Rhinolophus ferrumequinum: one gene and its partner. The protein of the gene in region 1 binds, or shares a complex with, the protein of each later gene. Links are inferred from orthologs where the notes say so. Each region holds a gene or a part of one and is shown on either strand. Other genes may lie near its edges. The genes, in order: CNOT9 and CNOT6.

Region 1 (15,886 bases):
GAGCATCTTTGATACACAAAATCATAAGCAATTTATTTTCATAGTTCAAAAGCAAAGACAAATGGAAATTTTACCTCAGCTCAGGTTCTCAAGCATAAAGTTTTATAAATTGTTCTTCAATAGAGTACTTTAAAATATGCTTTTGTATAATCTAATTAATACAGAACTTTAAAGTGCAGAAAAAACTAAGACATTATGTTCTTAAATTCAACTCATATCAAGATGAGTAGTTCTTGGCTGCACAAGATAAATAGTATAGAAGTGAAAACAAAACTCTCTTTTCTGCAGTGATAAAACAATGAGATCCTTTAAAAGTTTACAATTAGAAGAAAACAGCAGTAAGGATGACCTTGAATGGTCTGTCTATACCACCACTCTGGCAGGATTATTTAGGAAGCAGACATTAAGATGACACTAAGAAGTCCTATTAAAAGCTAGCACTAAATAAGGATAAATCTATCGTTTGTGTTAAAGAGAAGGAAAAAAAAGGAATAAAGTTCTCCTACTGTGGTTTTTAAAATAGCTTAGGTAGATAGTATCCAAACTCAGTTCCTCTAATCTTCCTCCCATCAACTTTCTTTTCAATAATGGTGACTACTTCCCACTCTTTATTATACATGATCAATAATGTTACTGAATAATTTATAAAATATGAATATAAGAGTATGAGTGTGCTGGAAATAAAAAACAAGAAATATTAACGTAGGCGGAGGGCTACCATGATACTTAGTATGGCAGAGAACAATCATTCACTAAAACATGTCACTGAAGGTCTATTCCAAATCGAAATTTGATAATACCTGAAATGTCCTTGGAATTCCTCCAGTGTTATAGTGCACTATTAGGCTGACTTTATTTTCTTTTTCCACAATTTCAAAAGATCCTTCTTTCCATTTTGTAATCCCCGTCTGCATACTTCGAATTCTGATAGGACCATGTATCTTCAGAGGAGACATACTTTCTTAAAAAATAAATTGCTTCTAGCCAAATTATAAAGCAAAAATACACCTTCACCTGATAGATTCTAAGGAAGAAAAATAAAATAAAAAGTTACAATTTACCAGTGATTAAAATAAGTGTTTGAAAGAGGACATTTAATGAACCATCTTATGTACTTTTCTCCATTTCAATAAACCACATTTTATTAAGCAGCCTCAAAGGCCTTGCTTGATTAGCGGCATGGCACAGGTAAGAAAGACAACTAAGGCAGTCACTGATCCTGACTGTGTGAATATAGCCAGCATTTACTTACTTCTTCAGTACATGTTCCCTTCTTTGCCATGTGTCTAGTACCTCTATGCATTAGTGCCTAAATTTTGCATTTTGTACCACTCACACCATATTGCTGCCACTAAAGGCAGGTCAATACTAAAGATTGCATTCTCAGTGGGATTGCCTACAGCAACACGATCAACTTTTACCTTCCTTCACGAATGCTAAAGGGTCTTGAATTTCAAATACAAGTAAAAAAATATTTTCAGTCAGCTGACTCCATTTTTCAGAATGGAGTTCTCAAAATATCAATTCAAACCAAGTAGTCCAAGCATATCCACATGTATAGAAGACATTAAATGAAAGCAAAACTGTAAGAATAATCAAATTAGTTTAACCCCCAAAACTGTATTATTTGAGAAAATCATTTATTCTCTGGGGGGGGGGGAACAACCCTCTCTTCCTAAGAACCACTTACCATTTATGTTTAATATCACAATTCCTAGAACTCTTTACCAATTTTATCTATGACAGATATTCAAATTTCACAAATGACCTTCTAATACTTACAAATGGCTTACAACAATAGAATGTCTAAGACTCTTCAAACTAGCTTACCAAATGTCAACAAATACAATAGTAATAGCAGAGAACGGCAACAAATAGTGTATGTTATACAATTCCACCTCCATAAACCTTCCGTATAGAGATCTATAAAGATATCTTTATAACGAACTGCAGATCAAATTACATCACACTCAATGTTAAAACATTTTATACTCTTTTTCAAATCTCTAAAATCACTGCCTCTAATACAGATTTGTGCTTATAATTTAATAAGTCAAAAATCATTAAACTTTGCATCTGCCTAAACAGCTGAACTAGAAAAACTTTCAAAAAAGTAGTGATCAAAGGAAAAACATACTAGGTCTAGATATCAGGAGCCAGCTGTCACGAATTTGTAACTTATCTTTTCTAACCTTTAGTTTTCTCAATTGTAAAATAGGAATAGCAAATGCTATAGTGTTGCAGAATTAAATGAAATAACACACATTAAGCACTCAACAGACCCTAGCCTTAATATGAAATCAGTGTCCATTTTCTGAATTTATTCCTTGTCTGCAACACTTTGTTCTTCAAAGACCCCTGATAAATAAGTTAACAGGGGTTACCAATTCAACTGCCTACATGGGTCAGTCAGGTAACACATATGATGGGCAGGCAAAATATGAAAACTGCTATTCAAATCCAGCCAATTTTATCAGGTAGAAACAGTGAAACTAGCATTACCAGATCATCTAATTTTTCAAGAAAATGACAAATTTTTGTGTAAATCTGCCCATTTTTAATTGTGGGCAATGAATTCAAAGTTATGTTTAAAAGCTACAAATCAAACAAAACCCACTTGTAGGCAGGGTACAGCCTACGGATCACTAGTTTAAGGCCTCTAGATACTGTACATCAAATAACAGGGAATAAAATTTAAGAAGATATGAAAACACTCTTAATAGTTAAAAGGTGTTACGCATTGTAAGTCCTCTTATTATTATTCACTCATCTCATCAAATTTCTTGAGTGCCTACTGTAGCCAGATTTAGTATAATTTGCTGGGTATATGAATCCATCAAAGTTACACAGCCCACGACTTTGTTTATAGTCCTGTCTGTTACACAACATTTAATTCAAACTAGTAACTACAGAATTTTGGGCCAGCAATGTGTTTGTAATACTATTTTTTGGTGCTTCATTGTTTGGATATATCCTTGAAATTTTTTCCACTCTATTTCAGCCCAGCCAATAATACGTGGCCCCTTTCCTACCCCCGTTTCTTATGCCAGAAACGTGAGTGTTATCTTTGACTTCTCTCTTGATGATTATTGGTATTGGATTGGAGATGGAAGGTCAAGGTAGAGTCCTGTCAATTCTACCTCCATACACCTTCCAGACTTCTTTATAATGAAATGCAGATCAAATCATATCATTCTCCTCAATATTATCCAATGACTCCCCATTGCCCTCCCAGTAAAATCTAGACTCACTAACATGACATAAATGCCCTTCATGATCCAGGTTCTGCTTACCTCTCTTCCCAACAAGCCCTCCAAATCCAGCCATCTGAACTATTTATAATTTCCCTAAAAAAGCCACATGCTCTCATGCCACTATACTGTTGCACTCACAGAGGTTGAAGTCTGCAGGATGTTTACGTACTCTCCCCATGCCCCACAAGCTCCCATAATTTCTTCTCCTGTCTATAAAATCAAGGCTCAGCTTAGATCTAATCTTCTTTAAGAAGCCTTTCCCAGCTACCTTTCTCTTTTTCTCTCACCCCATATCCACACTGAGACTGTTCCATACTTCTCTATTCTTCTGTTGTACCCTGCGCTTACTTCCAGTAGGGCATTTATCACATTTTGTTATAAACTGCTTACCTCTTTGTCTCTCTCTATCTAGACTCTTCTATTTAAAGACAAGGAATGTGTTCTTTAAGCTTTGCATCCCCATTAGGACAGTGTCTGATACACAAGAAACAAACTCATTATTCACGAATAATGAACAAATCCGTACTATCAACTTTATTCAATTTACTGTGAAAATATACAACAGCAGATACTAGAGCCATAAATCCCTTTTACATAACCCTCTATATGGAAATATAGGGTTCTATTTCCTAAGCTCTTTACAAGTGTATCACTATGCACTGTATTACATATAACTCATCTTTTGAACGCTTAAGCCTTTTCTATGTGCATATGAACTTCACTAAATGTACAGCTATCGTCATATCTTAAGACTCAATGAGAAAGATAATAATGCATTATTAAAACAAAAACCTTAGTAAATTTGCCTAAACTGGGCTTTATACTATTCATTGTTCAATTAAAAAAACTCCATTTTAAGAGTTTTGTCAAATTTTCTCATCTTTCTTTATATGTCATTATGGGTCAGGGTGCCAAATTAAAAAGAAATAATATAAAACCCCATTATCTTAGTATTTTCCTTACAAGCCAAAAGTAAAGGTTGTTGACCTTAAATTCCACCAACAAAAACATATTTTTAGAAATTAGATTTAACAAAATGTTGAGGTAAAGATTTCAAAGCTCACTAAAATCCGTCAGAAATAAAAACAAACTTTATTGGTTATTTCTATTTCTCCATATAATTCTCTCTATAATTTCTCTCTACATAATTTTCAAACATTTGATGCAGAGTTTGGTTAAGTACATAAAATTTTACTTCAGATATTTAACATCTTCCTAACCATTTCTACTAACAATCTCTTTTTTTCCTAAGAAAAAAAAACCTAAAAGGTACAGGACATAAAACACTTTCTTAATGCCTCAACTTAGTCCATTACCTACTCTTGCATTAAATGGATTAACTATATCTACGTTTGTATATTCATATTTTCAGGGTTTGCCCTACTTGGTTAAGAGAAAAAACACTAAGTTTCTTTTTCAGTATTTGGCATGATCCAGTAATAGTTAAACTTTCTATGAAACTAGGACAAAGACAAGGTTTCTTTGACCTCTGTAATGCTAATTCACTATCACAGCGACATTAGGAAGACAAAGTATAACAAAAACTCATTCTTTAAGTATATCCAGAGAGATACCCCTTTACCTAAATTTCTTCACAATTATTAAAATACTCAATAAAATTACCAAACATGTGTCTATACCCCCATACAGGTGTTTAAATGCTATTCTTATTTTAGGTACTGCTTTGAAAACATTCTTCTCCAGAAGTGCATTCTGTGGTAAAGAAAGCATGCTAAAGAATAAAGCAGCTACTACAAAACAGAAAACTGTCAATTCTTGTCAAAATGCATACTCTTGGAAACATATATCCAAAATAAAAACATTACTTACTTTTCAGTGACTTTTACTGAAAAACCCTATGTAACAACAATTCACCTTTATTCTGATTCTTGTGCCAAAGGCAATGCACTCTTCTTTGGGAACTACTCATATTCTGCAGCTATGCCAGTTCTCCGGAAGCCATCAACTCAGCTAAAGAAAATATAAGCGTGCCTTTTTAAATGAATCCAATGTAAAAAATTAAAATTATTTTTAAATGTGATCATTTATACAACAAAGATTAACCTTTTGATTATTTAAAAACCATAAACCACCTTACTGAAAACACTTAAAATATAATGCTCAAGATACACACACACACACACACACACACACACACACACACACACACACGAGAGTGCAATAGAACTGTAGGGATAGTTCTACTTGCAAAATAAGGGATCCCAGGAGGAGCCGGCACTTCAATTTGTGTCTTGGTTTATTTATCCCTGCTACATTTTGAAACTAAGGCAGTGAAAAAGAGTGTATCTTTTGTTAACTTCAGAAACATTGTTTCATAATGATGTCTTACGTCTTAAAGATACCACTTCTATGATGTGCTGATACAATTTCAAAAGGTTAAGTAAACCTGGTTTTTACTTTTCTTTCAAAACTAACTTTATGGGTTTCTTTTTCAAATTTAGGCATCTCTAAGCCTCAACTTAAAGGCGGTTCTAACTCAAACATCTCTCATTGCCTTCATGAAAGCTGTAACATCAACTTTAAACTCGTTTATTCACTTAGTAAAAAATCATTTACTGAGCTACTCCAATTTGATAGCAGTCTAGTATGGATACAAATGTGAAAATTATACAGCCCATGCCTTCAAGAGGCTCCCCAGACTTCTCTCCACTTCTCCTTCCCCTTTCATTCAAGCAAAACATCCTAGCATCAGCTTTAACCTCTTCGCATTTATCTAAAACCCAGTCTTTTCATACTAGTTACTACCCTAATTCAGAAACACATCACTTTGCCATCACTCCAACCTAATATTTATTACGCAGCATTTACTAAGCACAGTGCTAAGCTCCATACATGCACTATCTCATTTAATTTTCACAATATCCTAAAGGATAGGGATTACTATTATCTCTCTGTTACAGATAAGGAAACCAAGGCTTGGAGAGATTACATAATTTACCTACGGTCAGAGTCAGTAAGAGACAACAGTCTACCACCAGAACCCACGTTTTTAACTACTACCATACTGCATCCTCATCAATGATTTGCAGCAACCACTTTCCAGTCTCCATTCCCTCAGGATTTTTTCATCCAATGAATCTTTACCCTTTCTAAAGAACTACTCTTTTTATCTCCTATCAAGGAGAATATACACTGCCTCCTTAACTTTCTCCCTAAAAGTGGGAGGGGGGGAGGACCTGTCCTACCTTCTTTTGTACTCCAACAAAATAACAGGCACTTAGTATGTGCTAAATACTTGCTATTGATGCTGATTCCTTCCCAAACATTTTTAAAATTTTATTTTATTGTGGTAAGAATATTAACATGAGATCTATCCTCTTAACAAATTTTTCAGTATACAACACAGCACTGTTAACTGCAGATACCATGTTGTACAGCATATTGCTAGACCTTATTCAACTTTTCAGCTTGCTTAATTGAAACTTTCTCCCAAACATTTTTAACAGCTCATCACTACCTACAAGATGAATCCAAATGCTTCTCTGTTCGGCATTCATACACTTCCTATGTTTTATTTTCTATTTCTCAACAAAAATCCTGTTCCACACACACAAATTATTAAATTTTAATATTTCCTTCCCATCTACCACCAACTTACTTAAATAGGATGTTTTCCTTTATTTTTGGAAACCTCCTTGCTGGTCTCATAGTTTAACCTGTTGTTTAAAAATATATAAACCACTGCTCTGATTTCTAAGGGCTTTCTTGCACAAAGATAAAATTAGTGTTGTGGCTGAAAGAGAGAAGTTGCCCTAGATAAAGTTTATCTCCAATTCAAAGAGTCTAAAATCTAAATGATTTTATGACATAAAAATGAAAATTCGTCCAAAGCTGGAAAACCCTTTGTTGTTTTTTTTGTATCCTTTGATTTGTCTGCAGACAGAAAAGGTGTTTGTCAACAGATGACAAGAATATCAGTAACCTTCCAAAAGACATGATGGCTACTCATTTAACCAATTCTTGAGAAACAGAAATTAAATAGTTACTAGCTTATATTCTAGTAAGAGACAGACTTTAAATAACCACACAAATAAACATATAATTACAAGTTCTGAAAGATGATATAAAGTGCAGGGCATGATGAGAGATTATAATAGGGTCCCTGATTTAAGACTTGGGGGTTAAAGGTTAGAGAGCACCTAGGGAAGGTTTCTCTGAGGAAGTACCATATAAGCTGAAACTTGAAGAAAGAGTTCACTGAAGGACAGTCATGCTGGAACCACCCAAGTAAACAGAACAAAATGTGCAAAGGCCCTGTGACAGAAAGTAACTTGGTGTGACTGAAGAAATGAAAAGCAGTGTGACTAGAGTTTAGTGAGAGAGAGGAGGATGGTGCAAGATGAAGCTAGTAAAGCAGGAAAGACTCAGGTTATGCAGAATCTTGTACAGCATAGTAATGATTTTGAATTTTACCCTCAATGTAATAAATACTTAGTGATTGGGAAATCCACAGAAGGGTTTTAAGCAGAGAAATGACATGTTACTGCTGAATAAAGAAGTGATTTCAATTTGGGGAGGAGAAAGGAGCAAGAATGGAAGAAAACAGGACAACCAGATACGAAAGTATTAAAGTGATTCAGCTTATAACAATTACAATAATAATGCTTACTGGCTGTTTACTATGTATCATGTTCTTACCACAGTTATCTCATTTAATCTTCATAAAAATTCAATAAGGTGATGATTATTCCCATTTTACAGATGAGAATACAGGGTACCTAGCAGTGACATTAAGTCCAAGTGAATGAGGATTGTGGCTTGGACTGGAAAAGTGATACGAAAGATATACAGAAATAGATTCAACACATATATTGGAAATAGAATAAATAGAACTTGAAGAGGGTACGGATACATGAAATGAGGGAGAAGTCAAGAATGGCTTTCAAGTGTCTAGCCTATGTAAGTGGATAAATGGATATGCCACTTAATGAAACGGGATACTGGAGAAAGAATTTGGATATGGAGAGAAAGATTAAGAATTTGGTTTTAGACATGTTATATTTGAAATCTCTAAGGAAAAAAATCAAGCTGAAATGTCAAGCAAATGGGGGCTAGTTATAATAGATCTTGAGCTTTTGGGAAGAGGCTGGAAATAAAAGTTCTTAAGTCATCAATATATAGGTAGAATTCAAAGCTTAGGGTGGAAAAGGAAGAGCAAAAAGAACAGGGCCTACGACTGAACCAAGATATTCCATGTTACTCCATTAAACCTCTCTCACCATGACCATCGATTACTTTGATTTCACTGGGCTTCTCAGTCCTCATTCATCTTTCAGCAAAATGCAACACTACTGATTACTTCTTCCATCTCTTTACCAGACTTGTATTCCTCTATCCAGTTATTAAACGTCAAGAACCCCTCAGTGAGCCATCCTAGATCCCCTTTTCCAGCGTTATACTCGCTTTAGGCAATTTCATCCACATCCATGGCTTTGATTACCATCAACGTGGCAGATGACATATATACATTTATCTATACTTCCAGCCCAGAACTCTCCTCTGAGCGTCAAACCAATATATCCAACTGCTAACTTGACATCCTCTCTTAGGTATCTCTTCCAGTTAGCTACTTGTCAGATACTGTCACCCCCCAAAAGGCATGTACAGAGCCAAAATTTTGAAAGAACTACCACAAAGCCACTACAGGCCAAGTCTCCAGAAAACAGGATTTTGTCATCAATTATCATTTCCTTTCATGGCTCATGCCCTAAAACAGGTGAAGCTGACAACCTGAACTGATGGCTAGAGATGGGGAGCAACCAAATGCACGACAAGAACACAATTCATGCGTTTTAGTGAGAGATGGTTAGGAGAGGAAAGAAGGTGAGGAACTGTCAAGAGAGTGAGAGAATCATGTCCAAGGCCTGTGGATGTGCGGCAACGTAGGTCCTCTTTTTAGAGACAGCAGGCCTCGCTAAGGGGCGAGTGGCGGACGCCGACAGCCCCCAGCGAAATGGGGGAGGTTCCGGCTGCGGAGGGGGCGAGTAACAGTCAAGACCAGGTCAAAGGAGAAGAAAAGCCTGAGGGAAGCCCCAAGTGCAGCACCGGTGAGGCCAGGGGAGCGTCGAGTGGATGGGGGCAGGCTGAGCAGCAGCGGGGCGAACTCCAGAAGAGTGAACGCCGAGTGGGCGGACCGGGGGTGGGGGGGAAGCCGCTGGGGAAAACCGCTCAGTTGAGAAGCTTTCTGGGCCCGCCTTACCTGTGCCTGCGAGTCCTGAGCCCGGGACAGGCCCGCCGGAAGCACGGAGTCCGCGCGGAGGGGGAAAAGTGGGGGGGAAGGAAGGAAGGGACACCCGGCACGGAGGAGAGGGACAGCTCACTCCCCCCGACTCAGGGAGAGCGGCTGATGGCGGGAACTGTGACCACACGCAAACACGCAACGCACGCACGCACACTCTACGCGACCGGACGGGGCGCGTGCGCGCAGGAATGCAAACTCCGCCCCTCCACGCCCTCGCCCCGCCCCAGCACTCGGCGAAGTCTCGCCAAGGCAGCCCCGCCCCATCTGACTACAGGACGCATGCGCATTTCTTACTCACTCATTTTCGACTTCCCACCATTTCCATCTTACTCAGCCCAGTCGGGCATGCGTACTACTTCTCCTTCGGGGACTGCCCTGCTTTTCCCGCCCTTCACTGGCCTCCGGAGGAGGGTCAGAGTTCACTCCCCTCTCTGGGGAGGCCTGCGGGGAATGCCAGGACTAATAGGAGGCGGACGTCCTTCAGGTCCTGAATCTTAAGCGACAAAGGACAGACTTTAGGACTAACTCCGTGGAGAGCTAGGAGGGGGGAAGAGGATTGTGGGCGGTGTCAGGGGTGAAAGGTCATAGGGCTGCGAAGGGGGCGGAGCGAGCCGGAGGCGGATGGCGGCTGCGGCAGCTCTTTGGCGGCAGAGTCGCTGAAGCTGGGACGTGGGTCGGGCGCGTCCGGCGGTGGCTGGAGAGCGGTGGCCGCTCCCAACATGCACAGCCTGGCGACGGCTGCGGTGAGTGGGTGCGCCGCCCAGCCTGGGCCCAGAACCCCTCCTCAGTCCTGCGTTTCGGCCTCCTCTCCTAGCTCCCTCTGTGGAGCCTGGAGTCCAACTTCTGCTCTCAACCCACGAGGCCCCGGCCCCCCCTCCTCGCCGCGCTTTGGTCGCGGTGAAGCCACCCCCTACTTTCCTCGCCCACCGGCACTTGTGGCCTCTCGCGCCGCATTTCGCGTTCTTTTCCGGCCTGGGGCCTGCGCGCGCCCGGAACGCCTCCCTCGCGGCCCGGACTGGCCATTCATTGATTCATTGCCCTGACCAACAGTTTCCGGGTGCCCGTTGCGTTCCGAGCGTCGGCGGGGATGAGGGTAATTCTGTGATCGATTTGACAAGGCCCCGGGCTCTCGGAACTGACTGCCTAGGCACATCGCAGCGGAAAGGAAATGGCTTCTAGTTAAAACCACTTGCTTTGCAGATGGAAAATCTGAGACCCAGAGAAGTGAATAATTATCGTGTCTGACTTACGGTTCTCTGCGCTTAAAACCTTTCCTCACACATCTCGTTTTATCAGTGTGGTCTTTTAACCAAAATGGATCGGGTAGTTCACCTGTCTAGTGTAATCCTATGGCTTCCCATTGCATTTAGATAAAATCCAGAGTCCTCGCTATGACAAGACTCTCGCTGGTTCTTACCCACGTTTACAGTCTTGTCTTATGTCACTTGCCCGGTAGGCTCCAGTTACACTGGACATCCCGTCTACCATCCCTTCTGGTGTGCTTTTCAACTCCAAAGTGCACTTTCTGATCTCTGTTCCTGGAATGCTCTTCCAACTTAAACACACACACACACACACACACCCCTCCCCCCAATGTGGGCATAGCTGGCTTCCCTCAGGTCTCTGCCAAATCTCCCTAGAGTGGGCGACCCTGACCGTCTTTTTTAAAGTACTGTAGTTCTGTAACCTCCAACTTTACTTTTCAAGTATCCTTTACAGCATTGATTACAATTTGTAATTTTTTTGTATTTATTTGCTTGTTGATTGTCTCCCTCTTGAGGACAGAGACAGGGATCATGTGGGTCTTGTTTACATAGTAACCCAGATCCAGGACAGTTCCTGGCATAAAGTAAGGGCTCAGGTACTTTGCTGAATGAGGGGTGCAGATGAAGGAGGTGGCTACTGAGAACACATAGCCACAGTGGGAAAATGGGATCATATGATTTGAGCACACTTTTGTAAATGCCCACCCCACTTTTTCTGTTTCACAGAGGTAAAGTGACTTAATGAGAGAATAATATACTTAAGTTGCATTAGTAGGCAAAATGATACAAATACGAAATAGAGAACCCAAAAAATTGCCTTTAAATATAAAAAGGAAGCTGTGTAATTAGGTTAGAGAAAACGTCATTTCCAGAGCCAGTGGCATCTCTGCCTCCTGTCACCATGTTTCTAAGTGTTTGTAACTAGTCAAAGTGGAGAAGTACCTTTTATATCTCTCAATTGGGTGTTTGCAATTTCCCCAACTTTTTTGTTTCTTCTCGCACATTACATGTATAATTTGGAAGAAGCAAGTCAGAAGATGAGGTTTCTGCTAGTAGGGAGGGACAAGGTAAATAAATTCTTCTAAGGTTGGCTTGTCCATCTCTCAAAATCTGATCGTGTGTTCGCCACACTTTGATGCCAAGCTGCTCTTTTCTCTGTGCCTCCCCAAACTCTATACCCATACCTATTCAATTTCTTTTATTTTCATTTGCTCCCTGTAATTCATCTTTTGAACAGCCATTAAAGCTGTGGTTCATTACTTATAAGTAAGTACTCAATACATGTTTCTTCAATTAGATTGACAATACATTTATTTAAAATTTGAACTTTTAGATATACTTTCATTTGTTGTGCTGCTTAGACCACACGAAAGCTCTGACAAGTTACTTTCTACCACTCATTCACTAGAATATTTGGTTAGTGAGGAGACTGAAGCGCATGCCTTCCATTAGACTAAACTGCCTGTTTTATTCTGATCTGGGTAAAGGGACAGTAATGGTGTTTGTCACTCTCTAGAAATTGAGAAAAGTTAATACATGCACCAGTGCCTGCAGTAATCTAAGCAACTTGATTATTACTTTTTGCCTAATGATGAAAATTTGTATCTGTGTGTACCTTTATCTTTTTTAAAATAACAGGTAATTCATCATTTCAGCTAGGGAGATAGTACTGTCAAAGGAGAATGTGATCACATGTGAATGCAGGATTTCATTCACAATAGGGAGGATTTGAGATAATTTGGGAAATATCTTAAATTTTGACTTGAGTAGTATTATACTGGAAATGTATGGTATGATAGACCTTTCATTCTTTACAGAATACATTCTAACGTCTTCATTATTGCCACCATAGAATGTAATTTCTCACATCTATTAAATAAGGACACAAATACACACAGGATTATTTAAAGATGAAATAATAACAGAGTGATCAGTGGTTGGCTAGGTTCACTCACTGGTTAAATGGCTTGCTCCTAGGTTCAGCTTTGGGACTCTAGTTCCTGCCTCAACAGAGTAACAAATCACTTTGTTATGGACCTTGGAGGTTGATTAATAGAATTATTATACATATCTTCACATACTGTGGGTCTTCTGTAATGAATGATATGCTAGTGATCTAAAACAACCAAAGGAAAGCCCTTATGAGATGCTCTGGGTATGCATTTTTAAAAATATTCCCCACTGATTCCCCAGTAGAATTTCTACTGGCAATTCTAACATCTTTAAACCCTTGTTTTTGCCTCGCTTTCCACCTAATGGGCACCGTCATTAGTTATTCTATATCTTTTTGTTGAAGTTGTGCTAGACTCCCAGAAGCCTTCCTCTTTGGCAAGTAAAAAGAACATTGTGCATTCATTCTGGCACATCTAATTCAAAGACTGTCTCCTGTTGAAGTTTTAAGCAAATTGCCTAACTTCTCTTTGCTTATTCACTTCTATTTTTAAAAAGTTATTTTTGAAGAACATTCTGGACCTTATTTTCATAAAGATATGAGGATAATTGAGCTAATTTAATATTTCCCTTTGGCAGTATTTAGAAAGTGTGTTTTCTTGGAATATCGTCAACTAGACATTCAAAGACACTTGTTGAGTCATCTCCAGACTTGGGAAAATAATCTCTTTTTCAATCTAATACTCTTCTTTCTTTATTCATTGTCAAATATTCATTGGTAGAAAAGCCAGCTATTTTGGCCCTTGAATCTATTTTGGCCCATACTGAAAGATTTGGATATTTTCTGTTTAAGAAAGCCATCAACATCAATGTTTAAATTTCCTCATGAGGGGTAAATCATTTTTCTTTCTCATTTATAGGTAAATGTGGGTCTTTTTATTTAAATTTTAAATATCTTTTTCTTTTCACATTAAGTATTAAGATCTTACAAAGATAGAAGACCAACTATCAGTACCCTGTGTTTGTGACACTTGAAGTTAACCATTGGTGACTCACATTGGTAAATGTCTTGCCTATGTTAAGCTTTGTTGAAAGAAAAAAGTTATTTGAAATACTTTTTCTATATACAAATCATTAAACAGAAAAGGGGAGAGCAATTCCCTCCTAAATTTTGGCCATACAGACATTTTTAACATTGAAAGGAAGGGACCACTGACATTAAGCGAGTTATATCTGAAGATACAGTTATATCCAATAGCTCTTGTTTGTAATCTTGGAAGACAGTATTAAGGAAGATAACTAATAGTTTAAATCAGACTTCTCATGAGTGACCTTACGTTTCTGGGTATGTAAGTGAACTTACCGTTTATCCAAATCCAACTGTTAATGAGCTATATTATACACAATGGGATATTAAACTTAAAAGTCTGTATTGGGATCTTAAGAAATATTTTCTTCAACTTGGAGAGATATTTGTGATTTCAATCCTATAAACCAGGTAGGGGCTCACTGATTTTAGAGAGAAGTAGCCTAGAATTTAAATCTAATTTTCTGCCATATACTCGCTGTGTGAACTTGCATATATTTAACCTCCCTGAACCCATTCTTTCTTAGAATTTTGAGAATAAGGCAGATGATCCACAGTGACTGGCACATAGTATGTTCAGTAAATATTACCTCCTATAAATAGTTTCTAGAAAAGGCAGACCTCATCTATAGCAGCAAAAAGCATATCCATAGTTGCCTAGGGCTGGGTGTGGTGCGATTCCTGACAGGAATACTAGAGAACTTTTGAGGGTAATGGAAGTGATCTATATCTTGATTGTGGTGGTGGTTACTCAGGTATATAGATTTCTCAAACTTCATTGAAATGTACACTTAAAATGGGTGCACTGAAAAGTTTTATTGTATATAAATTATACCTGAATAAAATTTATTATTTTTAAAGAGCCACTTAGATTAGTCTCTCACTTTATAACAAAGAATTAAATAAATTTCTAAGATTTTTATAGCTGACTGAGACTTCGGTAATTAATTCCTTCATTTTACCAGTGATAAAACTGAGGGTTGGGAAAGTAAATGACTTATCCTAGGTTACACATGCTAGAAATGGCAAAGCTGTGTTTTGAAGCCACTTATGGCTTCTAATCTAGTGTGTGTTCCACTTACGTGTTTCCTATTCATTCACTTGATAAACAGGTTATTAATCCTAGGTCCATGGATAGGTTGCAGAAGGGGTGGTCTACGAATTCCCTGAAATTATGTGTAAATTTGTGGAAAACAAATTATGTACAAAACAATTTGCAATTATGTATTTTTCTGAGGAAAAGATCCATAGATTTCATTTGATTCAAGAAATGTTAACCCTTGTGCTTGTGGTATCCCGCCATCATTGTTAAAATGTTTAAGTTAGGTGGTCTCCAGTAGGGAAGTCATACATGAGTTTGCTTATCTGCCACTGGACAGTGTGTGCTACTAGACTGAGTTCCACATCAGCCACAGCCTCAGAAATGTAATTAGTAAATTATAAATTTAAGAATAGTAGCAAGTGAATTAGGAATCTTTAGAGGTGATCTTTAAATCGAGCATGAGAAGAAGGGGAAATCTGTCACCATCATTTACTCATAGTTTCATTTGTAAAATGAGGATGAAACCACATTATTGTGATCATTAAATGAAACCGTGTTTTTTAAAAAGTGCATATAGATCCATCCCTCTCTTCCCTCATCCCCCACTTTCACTTCCCACTACCTTTTAGAAGACATCAATTTTCAGATTCTAATATTTTTGTGAAAGGTGTGCCTAAATGATCCTTGGGATTCAGAAGGAAAGTGAAATACATTTTGGGTTTTTATTACCAATCAAGGTCTAAGAATGAAACTAGACCACTATTTTATACCATTCACAAAAATTAACTCAAAATGGATTAAAGATTAATTCAACAAAAAAACACACCAAACAACCTGATTAAAAAATGGGCAGAGGATCCGAATAGACATTGTTTTACATACAGAGGGGCCAACAGGCATGTGAAAAGATATTCAGCATCACCAACAGGGAAATGCAAATCAAAACCTAAGTGAGATATCACCTCACACCTGTTAGAATGCTGTAAAAAGACAAGAAAATAACAAGTGATGAGGTTGTAGAAAAAAGGGAACCCTCGTATACTGTTGGTGGAACTGTGAATTGGTACAGCCACCGTGGAAAATAGT
Region 2 (15,203 bases), on another chromosome or scaffold:
GTCTCAGAAATTGGCGTCAGCTACATCTGCAACTGAAAGTGACATTTTTTTTGGAAGTGTGGGGAGGCTAAAACCAAGGACAGGAGAACACACTCTGAGAAGAAATGAGACCCCAGCTCCCCTGCCCCACTCAGCTCAGACAGATGTCTACCCCTCCTCCACCCTGGGGGTTTGTTCTCTGTTGAGAGTACAGCAGAGAGTTTCTAGATATTTCTTCCTACTCAGCTGTAAGGATGTTAGCAAATAAAGGGGAGTTGGTAAATTTCATCTTTATTCTGGAAGAAGAGTTATCCTGCCATCCTGGTATAATTTCCTCCTTCGGCCTCCTATATGAAAACTTGGACAATTAAATTCACAAACTTTCCACCGTGCACTTACACAGTGGAAGATTTGCGAATTTAATTGTCCGGCCTTTCGTTTCCATGTGCAGCCCTCTTGCTTCACAGAGAGAGAGAGCTCTCCCATCCCTCCCCACGGGGCCCTCGCAGCTCCGAGTAGCCAGCAGTCTCCAGTATGGCATCCTGTGGCCCAGTAACCTAGGAACTAAAAGGCATCTACCTCCAACACACAGAATATATAAATTAGCAGTACGAATAAGACAATTGCAGCAAACCAACCAACCACCTAATTCAGAAAGTGGGGGAGGTAGATATACCTGTCTTGGGTTTATCTTATTTGGTTTTCCAGGAACACAGCAGTCTCCCTTCTCTGGAGGCAGAGTAAGATACTGATCAGCCCACCTGAGAGTCCTTTGTCCACTGGCCTCTATGGCTTTGTCCCTGCCTTCTGGAAGGCATTGTCCCTTTCACGGTCACATAGACTTGGGAATTAGATCTTCCTGCTGATACAGGTTTGGGAGATTGGGTGTTGCTTTGGGGATTAAATATTTACGAAATTGTGGTCCACATTGGTGGTTTCTTTGACATTTCACTCCAAAAACTAGTAGGCTTCCAGACTTTTCTCATCCTACTTAGTTCCAGGCGGATACTAAGATCTTGCCTGGATATAATTTTTAAATTTTAATACTTGGGTCATTTGCCTTGTGGTCGGCTCACCACCCAATTTCACAACTTAATGAATCTGAGGCTATTTTTGAAATAATCAACTTAGTTTGGAAGGCAACACCATCAATCTACTTTCTGCCAGCAAGGTTTTCATTTCTGCATGGTAGAGCATCGATCTTATGTCCTGCCAAATACATACCTTGATTCTGGAGGTGTGTCTCTGCTCCATCAAATGCTCAGAAACCAGGTTTCATCCAGCTCTTTCTTATTCTGATATCGTGGGCCTTGTTCTCATGGTCAAAAATGGCAGCAGGGTGGAGGGCCAGGGGAAAGAGGCAGAGAAGGGTGGGGGGGACAGGAAGAGCAGGTGTCACTTATTGGAAGAAGTGTACATAAGAATATTGGGTAGTTGGGGAGGTGGACCGTGGCAGAGATGGTTATCTGTTCAACAAAATTACTGCTGTCCTTCCATTGGATAGATTTGCTGCTGAGAAGCAGCTGCTCAGACAGAATTGAGGAAGTTATTTCCAAGCTTGTGGAACTCTTTCCCAAGTCTTCTTTGCAATTGGAAGGGATAGGTGACTAGTTCTCACCAAAGGAGTGTGAGAAGAATCAATAAGGGTGACTTCAGGCTGAGCTGGTTAAGATGCACTTGTACTTTCCGCTCCATCTCCACCCTCTTCACCAGTGGGTACTGAGGGCTCCAAAGCCTAACGCAGGGGTTCTTGACACTTTTTACTCCATGAGCCCTCTTGGCAGTCTGGTAAAGCTTATAGAGCCCTGCTCAGAATAACATTGTTTAAAAGCATAACATAAAAATACATAGGATTACAAAGGAAACTAGCTATATTGAAATCCAGTTGCCCAAATATTTAAGTGTTACAACATAACAGTATTTATACACTTAAATAGCTTATCAAATAACAAAATCTACTGGTGGGTCTAATGTCTTTGTTTTCAAAGAAGTAAATGAATGAACGTGATATTTCAAGATATCCCCAACATTTTCTGTTAGGCTGATGAAAATGCCACGGAGGCACAGGAGTTGCCCAGGGGGCCATCAGTCCAGGGGCAGTGACCACGTCAGTGTCCTCGCAATGAACACTGTTCCTCAATTTGCTGACTGTGGTTTCCCAGGGGCCTGGAAGACCCACGGACAACATCCATTTTAGAAACTGTACAGGCCTCACTCATGTTACTGTGTCAAAAAAGGGTCAACTTTCCCTAAACTTTTTTTAGGCCAATCTCTTTAAGAAACATCTTTCAGATTCCCCTCCTAGTTCAGCCTCCTGCCATCATTCTAACACCCCATATCCTATAAAAGTAGCAAGGCAATAAAATGGTTTTCACCCAGGGCAGCAGCAGTGATGAATCTGCCGGTAGGGCTTAAATCAAACACCCCTAATGGCTGCCCTACATGTGGACTTTCAGGCATCGGAGTCCTAAGTAGCCTTATCCACTATGCATGTTTGAGGGTGTACGGTTTATTTGTTTTGTTATTTAGAGCCAAAGCATCATAATCAATTCAAATCTCTGGCGACTGTGGCTGGGGTGGGTCCAGGGATGACATAGCCACTTTCTTCTTCATGCCTTTCTGCTGTTTGGTCTTAATTTGTTTTCAAACCATGACCACAAATTATTTTTTTAACACTGAAAAAGATGGTTCAATCTTAGAGAAAAAATGACATATACTTAAAAACAGAAATGGATTTGCTGCCTTTTCCCATTCCCGTTAACTTCTCTAAGGTGTCTTTGGGGAGAGCGTCTGAGCTCTGAAAGGGGAATACCTCCTCTGTCTCCCACGTGCTGAGGCACTGAGGCACCTTCTCCCCACAGCACACTTTGGCAGTGAAGCCACGACCAGACAGGTGCCTGGAGAAGCAGCTGGCAGGGGCTGTGTGTGTGTGCCAGTGGGGGCTTAACAGAGAGTGGACCTTGGACCTTTGCTTTTCTCTGCATCTATTTTTCTTTCTTCCAGCAACAATATCCCCAGTTCTTCTCTGGACCCCCCCACCCCCACCCCGCCAGCTCTTTCCATATGTGCTTTGAGTGAAGTTAAAGATGATCCAGCTCCAGGAGAGGGCACGTGATTTCCTCCTGGCCAGGGTAGGATATCACCCTAAACGTGGTGTTTGGTTCAGGGATGGAAATGAGTCAGTCCCAGGACATTTGCTCAGCTGCTGAGGGAAGCTCTCTCTTTCCTTCTGGGCTTGAATCTTGTAGGAGCTGGCATCCATTCTGCTTCCATACTGCCCCTGATGATAAAATCAACATGGAGAGGAGCAGAGTGCATTAGCCTCTAGATTAGCCCCTGAAGCTGATAGACTCTTTCTGGCCTTTTACAGTGATTAGACCCAACTAACTCCTTTCTTTTCTTAAAGCTGTTTGAGATGGTTTTTCAATCAATTGCAGGCTAATATAGTGGGCCCAGAGACAAAGGACACTCTGGGGAGATCTGACTGGGACCTGCAAGTTCATCTGTTAGACTGGGTCCTCTCTGAGAAAAACTGGAGGCCTCACCAGTGCTGGCCCTGGTCAGCAAGTCTCCACCCTGAAAGGAGGCGTCAGACTGTCAGAGCTGAGTGGCTCCACAGGGCCCACAGTTCAGGCTCACCAAGCACCCTCTGGCAAGACCGGTTTGCCATGTGCTTTCCCACTGGGAGACGTGGATCTTCCACTGTAAGCATTCGGGTCTCACCGTGGTTGGGTTTATCTTGCAAATAAACCTTGGAGCCTGCATCAGTTCGCCATCTCCTGTGCATTTTAGTTACTGCAGCCACTCTGAGCAATGCTCCCCATCTCCGGGGACCTTGGCAAGTCCAATTGCTGGACCCACAAAGTTATGGTCCACATCCTACACCGACCTTGAGTTTGAATTCCAGACACGCCTGCAAAATAGACACCACAGCCACATCAACAGGCATGGCCACCTCTTGGTTGTCCATCTTCGTTATTTATCCTCCTATCCACTAGCCAATACATTTACTAAGCATCAAATGAGAAGTATTTTGATTGCAAGTGACAGAAGCCTAACCTTAACTTAAGCAAAAAATGAACTTATTGGCTCATGTACCTGGACTAGATCATAGGATAAAAGGGAAAACTATCAAAATCAGGATTTTGGCACCTGGTACCAAGGCTCTGTCACCAAGACGATCTCTCTTCATCTCTCTCTCATCTCTCCATGTGTTGGGAAGATGCACTGGCTGCCACCAACTCATACTGTCCCAGTTTAGGACCCCAGTGGTATGAGAACTCTTCCCACATCCACATAGCAAATCCCAGGTTGGTTACATGCCCACCACTGGGCCTGAGGGTCAAGGTGTTCAGAACAGAGGAAGGAACTGCGAAAGCCTGTGAGTGGAAAAGACTCAAAAGCAGCCCCAGTTGGCGGCATGGGGGCAACATGATTTAGATTGGAGTGGCTCACAGCCTGGCAGGGAGAATGCTATCTTTGCTGAGTGCCCTGATGGCAGGAAAGGGGCCCGGAGCCTGAGGAGACAGGAACCAACTCTGCTGGGAAGCCTTCCCTGAGAAGGCCTGAGGTGGAATCTGCTCCCCTCCTTCTGGCCACCCCAATTCCCCAAGGGATGGTCCTTCCCTGCTCTCAATACATCTACTTCATGCAGGGCTGACCTCACACCTGGCTGCAGGGAGTAAGACCAGAGCTCTGGTCAGGCCAGTGAGAGCTGCCCTGGGTTCTTGCTAAAACGATGAGGAAAGAAATTCTCAAGAGGAGAAGCTGGTAGAATCTACGCCTGCCTGTCGTAGTGGCCATCTCTCCTGCCTGGCTACACAACCTGTGTGAAGAAGCCAGTGGGGAGGAGAGCAGAGTGAAAGGTGGAGGGGTGAGATTGTTCTGGATGGCATCTTATTATGCCTGAACTTTTCAGTTATGTGACACCTGAATATGCAAATGATCTCTTTCTGCAAAAAGTCTACTTGAGTTGGGGTTTTATAACAATGCAATGGGAAGTCTTGGCTCACATGAAAGGCACGATTTGGATCTGCAAAGGTGAGAGGCTTTTCTAGGGTTTTCTTCAGATATTCAGAAAGAACAGGACGTGCACAGGCAGGGCCACCACTGGTACCCTCCCTGTGGGTTCCCCCAATCTATCAGATGGCCCCCCAAAACTCTGTCCCTCCCTGTACATACATGCAGCTCCTGTGTTGCTTATGTCCTCTCCTCTTGAATCTGGACTGGGCTTTGATGCTATGACTAACAGACTCCTGAAGTGACATCCTTCAGAAGGCCTGGCAGCTTCCACTTGCTCCCTCGTGGAGCCCTGGGTTGCCATTCAACAAGTCCAAGATCTCCTGCCGGAGAGAGAAACCACAAAGAAAAGCTGAGGATGAGATACAACACAGAAAAAGACCTCACTGGGGGCACCAAGGTGCCAGACATCCAACCCCCAGCCACCATCTCACTAGAGGCATGAGAGCCCAAGTGAGACCAACAGAATTGTCTAGCTGGGCACAGTTATGTCTATCATGAGCTATAATAAACTAGTTTACACCACTGAGTTTTTTGTTATGCGGCTGGACGTCCCCTCCACCATACATATTGCGCCAACCACAAAAAGTAGCTCCCTCTGGGCAGCTGAATTATAAAAAAGGGACCCCTCTGTCCAGGCTGGAGCACAGGTTGCCAGGGCACAGCACTCACATGGAGGCAGAGGACCAGCTGGATGTACAGCAGATTGCTTAACCCTAGACTCAGTAGCCTGGGTTTGGAGGATACAGAGGGATGCCCACAGGCCAGTCTGCACTTGCTCTTTTCAACCCCTAACCCCTGCTGCCCTGTTCTTGTCCAGTGTCCTATGGCACTAGAGGACTGGGCTGTCATGTTGATTTCTTGGAAAATGGCAGGCAGGAACCATCCCCAGGCCATGCTGGGGAGAGACAAGCACAGAACCTCGGCAGCCTCTGTCCCTCAATCTTTTCCTTGCTCTTCCAGCTCTACCTTTGCCCCAACAGCAGCCACCCGTTTCCATATACTCTAGCCCAAGACAGCCTTTGGTGGGGGTGTCTTACTTTACCGCTATTGCTACTTACCAGAACCCATTTCACTTGTATTTCTTCAGGGTTGATATCTCAGGGGGGAGCCCATCCTAGTTTGCCATGTAGATGAGAGGATGGCTACTCCTTTTCCCCTCATGCCATGCCTGTCTGCCTCTCTACTGGATTTTAAGTCTGTTGGCTGTTTCTCTTGCCTCCAGACTATGAGCTTGCTCGGGGCAGAGTGGGGCCTGCTTCATCTCTCTGCCCTGGCCCCAGCACAAAGCCTGGCCATATAAGTTAAGGTGTCCACCCCATCGTCAGCCAGTCCAGTCTTTCCTCTGCTCGCCTTCAGTCACCACCTGAATAGAACGCCTCCATGTCTGAACGCAGATGCTGACGATTACTCCAGCTAGAATCCCACCACACGAACCGTCCCTCAATTACTGGACTGAATGACCATTGATGGAGCGCAACGGGCCATTAAGTAATTTTTTCAGCATATTTGAGGGAAGAAAACTCATATGACTGTTCACGATTGAATGTCTCATCTTTAGGCAAATCAAGATACTGGCTAAGGTCAAAAGTCTGAGAGCTAGTCCATGTTTCCATGTGATTGACAGGCAAAACGGAGGGGAGGAAGATCAAAGAAAAAGAGGGAAGAGAGGAGACAAAAGTGAACAGCCCGAGACAAATAAAAGAGAGCTGGATGAAAACCAGAGCAGCCGTTAAAAAGAGGAAAAAAGAGAAGTGACGGGAACGACGGGAATGAGGAGAGCGGGAAGAGGAGCGGGAGGGAGGGCCGGGAGCGCGCCGGGCCGGACCACCGTCCCCAAGGGCGGGGGTGGAGGGGCGGGGCCTGGGGCAGCGCGTGCAGGAAGAAACCCCTCCCGGCGCCGAATGGTTGCGCCCGGTGGCGGCGGCCAATGGGCGGCCGGGATGTTGGAGAGGCGGCGGCGGTCGGGGCGCTCGCTGGCTGGGAGACGGCGGCCGCCGCCATGATGCTTGTTTGCTTTCAATGAAAGCGAGGGGGGCGCGGAGGAGGAGGCGGCGGCGTCGGTGGCGGCGGCGTCGGCGGCGCGGAGGCGAAGGCGGCGGCGGGCACAGCGAGGAGGGCGAGGCCGGGGCCCGAGAGGGCAGGAGGGCATAGTGGCGGCCGGTCGGGGCAGCTGAGACGGGCGGCTGAGGCGGTGGCGCTCGGAGGGGGAACAAAGAGCGGCGGCCGAGGCGGCGGCGGCGGCGCTGCGGCAGCGGGCGGGACTGGTATGGTGGTTCCACAGGTCAGACCCCGCTGCACTCACAGGGAGGAGGCGGCAGCGGCGGCGGAGGTCGGCGCACCCCGAGAGGTGAGCGAGATGGCCCAAGCCCGCCGGGCAGCTCCCGCACTGGCTGTTCACGGGCCCCGCTCGGTCGTGCCCCCGGGGCACGCGGGGAGCGGGCAACTTGAGCTTGGCGAGCGGCGGGCCCGTAGCTGGGCTGAGTTGGCGGCTGTTGAGGCCCCCAAGATACGTTGCGATCGCGCAGCGCCGGGAGTCGCTCCCCCACGCCCAAACCGGGGGTGGGGGGCGTTGATTGACGGCGGGCGCGGCGGCGCGCAGGGGCGGGGCGGGGGCGCGCTGGCCCTCGGACCCCGGCGCGGGTCCCCGGGAGGAGGCGAGTCGGTGTCCGAGACTCGCGGCCGGGATGGGTGGCAACTTTGGAGGAGTGGCTGTGGGATTGCGCGCTGCAGAGTGTGGAACCTCGCAAAGCGGGAAACCGACTGTTTACCCCCTCCCCCAAAAGTGTTTACAATTCAGTTTAACGCAGATTTTGGGGGAGTGGGTGGGAATGACATGGTTAAAGAATCGCTTAGCACCGAATGAAAAGATTTATGGTATTGCTAAGGTAAGGACTCGGAGTAGTTCTAGTGACTTGAAGCAGTTTTCTCCAGTAACCGGAGTTCGTTCTCTCCCCCTCTCCCCCTCTCCCCCTCCCCCCTCCTCCCCCCTGCCCCCCTCCTCCCCCCTCCCCCCCTCCCCCTCTCCTCCTCACACTCCCCACAATACGGAAACTTTTTTCTTTGACTCTTCCTCCACCTTCCCCAAAGAGCCTGCTAACTAACGCCGGTAACCTTTTTATTTAACTGTTACTGCAAATGACAACATTGTGAATGGTCATCTTGCTGGACCTTCCTGGATTTGTTATTGTGTTAAGCTGACATTGTTTCAATAATCTGCTTGAATTTGAGTTCCCATATTTACCTGTTTTCCAGGTGGATTGTCCTATTAGTGCTACTGCGGAATCTTCTTGCTTCCTTGTTTCTGGGAATTTAATTTTGAAGAGAAGAGAATTTTGGAGAGGAAGTGAAAAATAAAATGGCATGTAATAACACTTTGTGTTTTTCACAATACACTGACTGGGATTTACCATTCCAAACCAGTTTTGTAGGTTGTAGGAGCTGATACAGCCGTTGGTCAAGGTTTTGAAGACTTTTTTTGGTAATTGCTGTCAGCAGTTGTCACTGTCTTTAGAATGTCATGACTTTTAGAATAAAAATTGCTTAATATTTTTAGACGAGTGATCTAGTCCAGTCGACTTGCTTTAAACAAAATATTTGAGTAAGTGCTGATGAGGAAAGACCTAGAAGGTTAAAGTGACTGGCCCAAACATATTACAGTTAAGAGGGACCAGGTTGTGTATGAATATGAGAGCAAATGAGAATGTAATTGCTGGAGAGTATAGTTCTTTGGGGAGGGCAGAGGGTGTTTTAATGGATTGAAGTTATTTGAGGTAGTTGAGTCTGGTCAGTTCTCAGGTGAACATGACAGTGAAATGGTCAAAAACGAAGATGTGACAAAAGTGTCTCGATCAGTGGTAATGTAAATGAAGAAGCCCTTTTAAATGTCTGTTTGATTTTGTAGGTATCTTCAGGTATCTTAAATCTTGGGGGCAGAGTACTGTTACTGGGAAATTTCAGACTAGTTTCTTTTAAAGAGATGAGGGTGGTTATAGAACTCGATCCTGACAACAAATAAAGGTGTTGTAGGAATCTACCTCCTCTACCTGTAGTTTATAAATATGTGCTTTGGTTAATACTTAGGCATCGTGCTATACCCATATGAGCCTTATTATATTCTTTAAAGCATACACCGTTTTCATATGCAACGTTTTCATATGTAACGCAAACAGGAATAAAGGCCCAAGGACTGCTCACAGCTGAGGGTGGGGGCGCCGACATCTTCAGCACACTTGTACTTTTTCCATGTGCAAGGCACACTAGGGAAAGCTCTGCTTTTAAAGTGTTTATCACTTTGGAAAAGTCTAAATAGGCTCAGCTAAGAACATACTCTAATGGAGAAAAGAAAGACGTGGATTTGTGGGTATGTAATGCTATTAATTACACTTTTGTTGTGGTTGGAACTTAATGTTACTGTCTTGGGAAAGTTCCAATTTTAATTTTCAAATCCTTAGCTTCCACAAAATCTTTTATCCATGTACTTTTTTCTTTCATCTTAACTGCTGCTCATTTTAGGAAGGTAGCCATTTTAGGACAGTGTGATTAACAAAACACTATGTATGTGAAATTAAGAAATGCTGAATAAACTGTAAAACTTACTGTATGCATAGCCTGTGTTCATTAGAGTACAATGAAATGCACTATATTTTGGTATTTGAAGTAGTAATTAAAGAGGAGAAGGTCGTTTGCCTCTAAGATGGGGCCTCATTTAGGCTGCCTTAATCTTACTCCCTCATCCCTTTATATTTTCTTGATAGCTTAAGTTACATATCGAGGAATAGTTATGCTGGACCCTGAGAATGCAAAACTGAATACTCAAGTTTCTGCCTGGGTGTAGTTTAATAGGCTTAGTAGGTGTACCAAGTTCTGTGGGAGAATAGAAGAGAAAATGGTTGTATTTGTGGAAGGTGTGGAAGCAGTTTACAGAAAATAACAGAGAAAAGGTGTTTGTCCAACTGGGGATAAGGGGTCATTTCAAACAGAAGGAACCATGGGTGCACTGAGGTGCCAAGTGTTGGGGTGAGGTCAATGGTGAGATGTTACCGGAATAGGGAGACTGACTAGAGATGAACCTGCAAAAAAGTATGTCTGGCCTAGATTTTGAAAGACCCTGCTTGCTAAGCTAAAAGTGAGGTTTATATCTTTATCCTATAGAAAAGGAGGGAGCCAAAATATTTTTAGTGGGGGCATAAGGTGATTTAAAGATCACTGTCATCAGTGTGGAGGATTGAGCCAAGGCCCTACATGTAAAAGTCACATTTGAGATAGTGTGGAGTGAGTGGTTCTGAATCTATTTTTAACTTGGGTATATAGTGTCTTGTGTCTGGTCCCTTTTCTGTTGGGCTTGAGGGCTCTGCCCAATTGCTCTGTAATACGGGGTAATTTAAAATAAAAATGCCAGGATGTTTTGGAAGAAGTTAAAGGAGTCAAAACAATGAAACCCATAAAATCGTACATGTGAAAGTTTCTTCTGAGTTAGGCTCAGGCAGACTGTGGAACTTAAAGTGGAAAAATCAACCCTCTGCTCACCGGAAGCGAGAGCCACCAAGCTGAAAGGTTATGATGACCCTGATGGTCTGTTGAGATACGGGTTATAAACATTTCATGAACTTTGGGGGGAAAGCAGTTTTCTCTCCAGTAGCGTACTGGTTAGAATACTGAAATTTTCTTAAAGGCTAAGCACTCGGTAGTCAGTTCTGCTGTAAGGGCATGTGGGTTCCTACAAATCATGGTATGTAAAATTGCAGTAAAAAGTCAGTGACTTATTTGTAAAAAAGGAACCTGATAAAAATGACAGCACAGTTTTACACGTTAAATGGTTAAACAATATATAAATGCTCCAATGTGTAGAATTTTCCTTGAAAAAGACCTGGTTTGCTTGTGGAAATGGGCATAAGAGGGGTTGCTGCTTGTGAGTTATTATGAAGTGGTGGAAGATTTAGCTGAACTCAGAGGGAATGTTATAACACCACCAGATGTGGGTGAATGTGTCTCATAACACGCAGAACTGATGTAGTTGGTAGGTGTTTGAGGGGTGTGTGTGTGTGTGTGTGTGTGTGTGTGTGTTGTATCCACACAGCTCCATTCATTGGGGTACAGTGTTTTACCTTCATCCAGTGTTTTTCACAGATAATTACACGTAAGCAATTGGGAATTTTGAGTTATGCTCAAATTCCCTAATTTATCAATCACATTGGAACAAATCCACATTTTCAGCACAACTGATCAAGCAGACCTGATTGTATTTGAATACAGCACTTTGAAATAGTGCTGTAAACCTCACTTCCAAAAGTCCTTGCACACCCATGTGTCAGGCACCATATATAGATTTGCTGTCCTTATGGGGCTCGTGGTCTTTGTCCCATGTGGGTTTAGAGTGGTGTAGAGCGAGTCCAATGAACCAGTAAAGCCCTCATCAGGTTATGTAATGATGAGGACTATACAGAGCGTTTGGGGCATGCTAAGGAAAGGGCAGCTAACTTCTGCTTGGGAAACTTGAGGGAGTCGTCTCAGAGGTCCTTGAGCTGATGTGAAGGGTGAGCAGGTTGTCAGGCTGAGTAGGGCATTACGAGGAGGAGGAACAGCATGTGCAAAGTCATGTCACGTACAACTTGGATGTGAGGAACTGAGGGGTGGCCAGAAACAGTTTGTGAATAGTCTTAGGCTTGTTCTTAAAATGTTGGGACTTCCATCTATATATAATGGGGATCCATTGAGTGTTGAGGTTGAGGAGACACGCAGGGGTCAGGAAACGGGTCAGAATTCACTCGAGTCCTTGTGAGAGGTCAAAGACATCAGCGTAGGTGCTGGAAAAGCATAGGATAAATATGAAAGATACCACCAGCTCTAAAAAGAGGAAGGAGCTGAGTATGATTCAGAAGTTCTTTAGCTTGGGGAACTATTGGTATGATTTAACTTGGGTAAAAGAGGACCAAGAGCAAATTTGGACAAGGAAAGTGGAAAAGTATGATTTTGATTCTAAGTTTGATGTATCTGTCGGATATTTGGGTGGGTATGTCTGATGAGTGTCTGGACCAGGGAGTGGTTGTGGGGGGGGGGTTATACATTTGGTCATTAAGTAGTTGGCTTTGGATTTAGGAGATCACTCAGGAAGAGTGTGTGAACAAATGCTTTTCACCATTTTGGGGGAGATGGATCCCCACTTGAGAATCACTTGAGAATTCTGGATCCAGTTGAAGAGAAGTATGCACACAAGTGTGAAACTTACTCATGGACCACAGGTTAATTTAAGAAGAGGAGAGGACTGAGGGGGCACCCGTAGGAACAGCCAGCTTTTAGTTTCAGACAGGATGGCAGTAAAGAGGTGGGAGCAGGGGAGAGAGCAACGTGGCGAAGGTGCTAAGGGAGGGAGGTAAGAGCGCTCAGAAGGAGGGAGTTTTCAGTGGAGACAGACGGTGCTCAGGTTTAGGGGAGGATGAGCTGGGAGAATGGATTGAGAGGGCAGTTAGGTGAATATGAGCAGAGCAAATTTTTCTGGGACCAGAGTAGTTGTCAGATTGTAGTTTGGGCTGGGAGCAATGGGGAGGTTAAAATGAAAAAGGTGGTAGACTGCTGTTTGGAAATGTTTAAAGGGGAAGAGAAGGAAAAGGGGTAATAGTTTAAAGAGGAGACAGGGTCCAGAGAAGGTTGGCACCTACTATGTTAGTTGTCAGCCTTTCTGTTTGCTTTAAATCCAAAATTTAGGAATAAATTCCTAATATATATTGTATGTAGACTTTATATTTTTCCCTGATATGTTGGTTGAAATGATTCACTTTTTATTTGGTCACGTAAAATTATTTGTGGAATTTCATGTGACTTCAAAAACAGTAAATTCTTCCTTGCTGGAGGTAGAGATTATCTGATGTAAAATCACCTTGTTATAACTTTGCCTTTAGTTACTAGAAGACTAAAATCGACTTTTTCATGTTCCCTGTACTAGGTTTTACTTGCATTGTGCTCAACAGCTCAAAGTTCAGTTAAATATTTGATACAGTTTAAATGTAGAATATAGTAGCAAAGACCGGAATGTCAGGCATAGTGATTTCCAGAGTATTTGCTACAAATATATACTCAAAAAGTAAACGTGGTGATGTAGCAAAACAAAAATTAAGCAATGGTCTTTGTATCCAAAAAGAGTATTACGGTGAGTCTCTAGATACATCAAGAGGCTACGTATAGATTTTTTTAAACTAGGCAGATTTTGAGTGAGGGGTGTGGGGAGACAGACTAAAAGAAGATATTAAGAATCCCTGCTAATTAAAGACGAAACAGAAATGAAGACTTATTAAAATTAAGTCAGAATATTTGCACTCAGCTCTTTGGGGGACAAAATCTTTTCTTCCCTAAAGATTGTGTATAGTTGTATGTAAACATTGCAGGATCATAAGGCAGTATCTGATGAAGCTCACTGCCATGTTTTAGACTAATAGCTTCCTTTACACATTTGCACCTAAAATTGTTGAAAGTGAAACTAGTGTTTGGGGGACATCTAAAGAATTGTCATTTGGTTTCTAATTTTAGGGAAACTTACAGAAACTCAGACTTAGTCACAGATAGATAGTCACAGAAAGAAAAAATAACCGTTGAATGCTAATGATGTGATAGGCACTACGTTACATGCGTTATTTCGTTTAATCCTCACCCCAGAATTGTAAGGTAGGTATCATTTATAACTGTGGAAACTTTAGCCTCTTTTTGACTCTGGTTTGTGTTCTTAATGACACACTGTACTCCCCACTCTTCCCTCCTGACACACACACATCGTGCTGTGGCTTGGAATGGACCTTTGATAGAGATTTGATAATACAGGGAGACCCAGTTGTTGCCACACATTTATAACCACTTGCAATAGTGGCTGACCATGTCGACATAATAGAGGTAGAATCTTAATACTTGTGATTCTCTTTTTGGTTATGGATCAAAAGCCATGAGTCCATGTAGGAATACTGTTCTTGCTGGTCCAAAATCCAGTGTTAAAGCATCTCACTATTTTAGGAAAAGGCAGTCACTTGCACATCTGGCGTCAGAAAGCCATGCAAAGCAGAACTCTTGAACACATTTGCTGTCGATTTCTTTCCATGAAACCTCACTCAGTAGCTTTCAAGCAGTATTCTATTGTTTTTAAAGGCCTCTCGATCATTTGTAAGCTCAGCATTTCATGAATTTTCTTTCTTGGTTTTAGGGGGAAAAGGGACTAATGCGTCAAAACTAGTATGTACGGATCTCCCAAGTGATTGCATATATGAATTAGCAACGAGAATAAATGTTGAATCCCTCAAAAGGCCAAAATTCCCACTAGATAGTGGTAGCTAGAATATGATTCATTGTGAGATGGAGAATCTGGCCAAACAAAAAGAAATGAAAAGATTTCTGTTGGCCATCATTTGGTGCTGAAGCTGCAAATAAGGTGGTTGTTGCTTGTCTCAGGCGAAGGAGCAGATTTAGGATCCACGGCCTCCCTAACCATTCCGATCTTGGTGAGGTTTCACCACACAAATCATGGTTTTGACTTAATATCCTGCATGTTAGTGGGCACTCAACTTTGCTGATTCGATCACAAATCTTGTTTGTGTGTGTGTGTGTTTCTCTCTATGCTTTATATTTGACCTAACATATAGAAATTAAAATTTCTAAGCTAATATTTGTATTTATTTTGAGGTGGAATTTGTGGATGACCTATACTTGGTGTACCTTCATGGTGGTTTTGAGTTACTGGGTTGAATGAAATTTGAGCATTTTGGAACTTCAGAATTGTGGTTGTTGCAGTATACCGTGTGCTTTCTTCCGACTGTGTTTTATATTCACTCATGTCATTGGGTGCAGACACATGGTAGGAACTGCACTGAATAACAGTCTAATAATAAACAGTTAGGGGCTGTCCGTTATGGGCTGGGAATGGTGGGTGCCGATGGGTGTGCCAGTCTTTCCTTTTTAGAGCTTGTGTCGACTGCTATGGCTGCTGTTTAGCTCTGTTTGGAGGAATATTTTACTATAATCTAAAAATCTGTTTTTGCAGAGGTCTTATTGATTGGAAATTTTAGTTAAACCAATTTGGACTGAAATTTATTTTTGTACTACTTGAAAAAAGGATTTAAGGAAATTGTGTATGAGATTTTTGGGGGAGGGGCAAATGGCTACCTTAAGAAACCTTAAGTTCTTAGAAATATTACTAAGACGTTATGTGCCTTTTTCATTCTTATTCT

The links.
Region 2: CNOT9 (region 1) and CNOT6 share a complex: the UniProt entries of both Homo sapiens proteins name them as parts of the CCR4-NOT complex. The link is inferred for Rhinolophus ferrumequinum from reciprocal best matches to the Homo sapiens genes CNOT9 and CNOT6.

The regions. Positions count from the first base shown.
Region 1 is NC_046291.1:16,767,777-16,783,662, reverse strand, and holds the start of CNOT9 (CCR4-NOT transcription complex subunit 9), read left to right. Parts: upstream 1-10,093; 5' UTR 10,094-10,235; coding exon 10,236-10,259; intron 10,260-15,886. Other genes in the region: USP37 (ubiquitin carboxyl-terminal hydrolase 37), read right to left, coding at 801-956. UniProt on the Homo sapiens protein: Component of the CCR4-NOT complex which is one of the major cellular mRNA deadenylases and is linked to various cellular processes including bulk mRNA degradation, miRNA-mediated repression, translational repression during translational initiation and general transcription regulation.
Region 2 is NC_046307.1:3,495,001-3,510,203, forward strand, and holds the start of CNOT6 (CCR4-NOT transcription complex subunit 6), read left to right. Parts: upstream 1-7,186; 5' UTR 7,187-7,348; intron 7,349-8,253; 5' UTR 8,254-8,356; coding exon 8,357-8,363; intron 8,364-15,203. UniProt on the Homo sapiens protein: Poly(A) nuclease with 3'-5' RNase activity.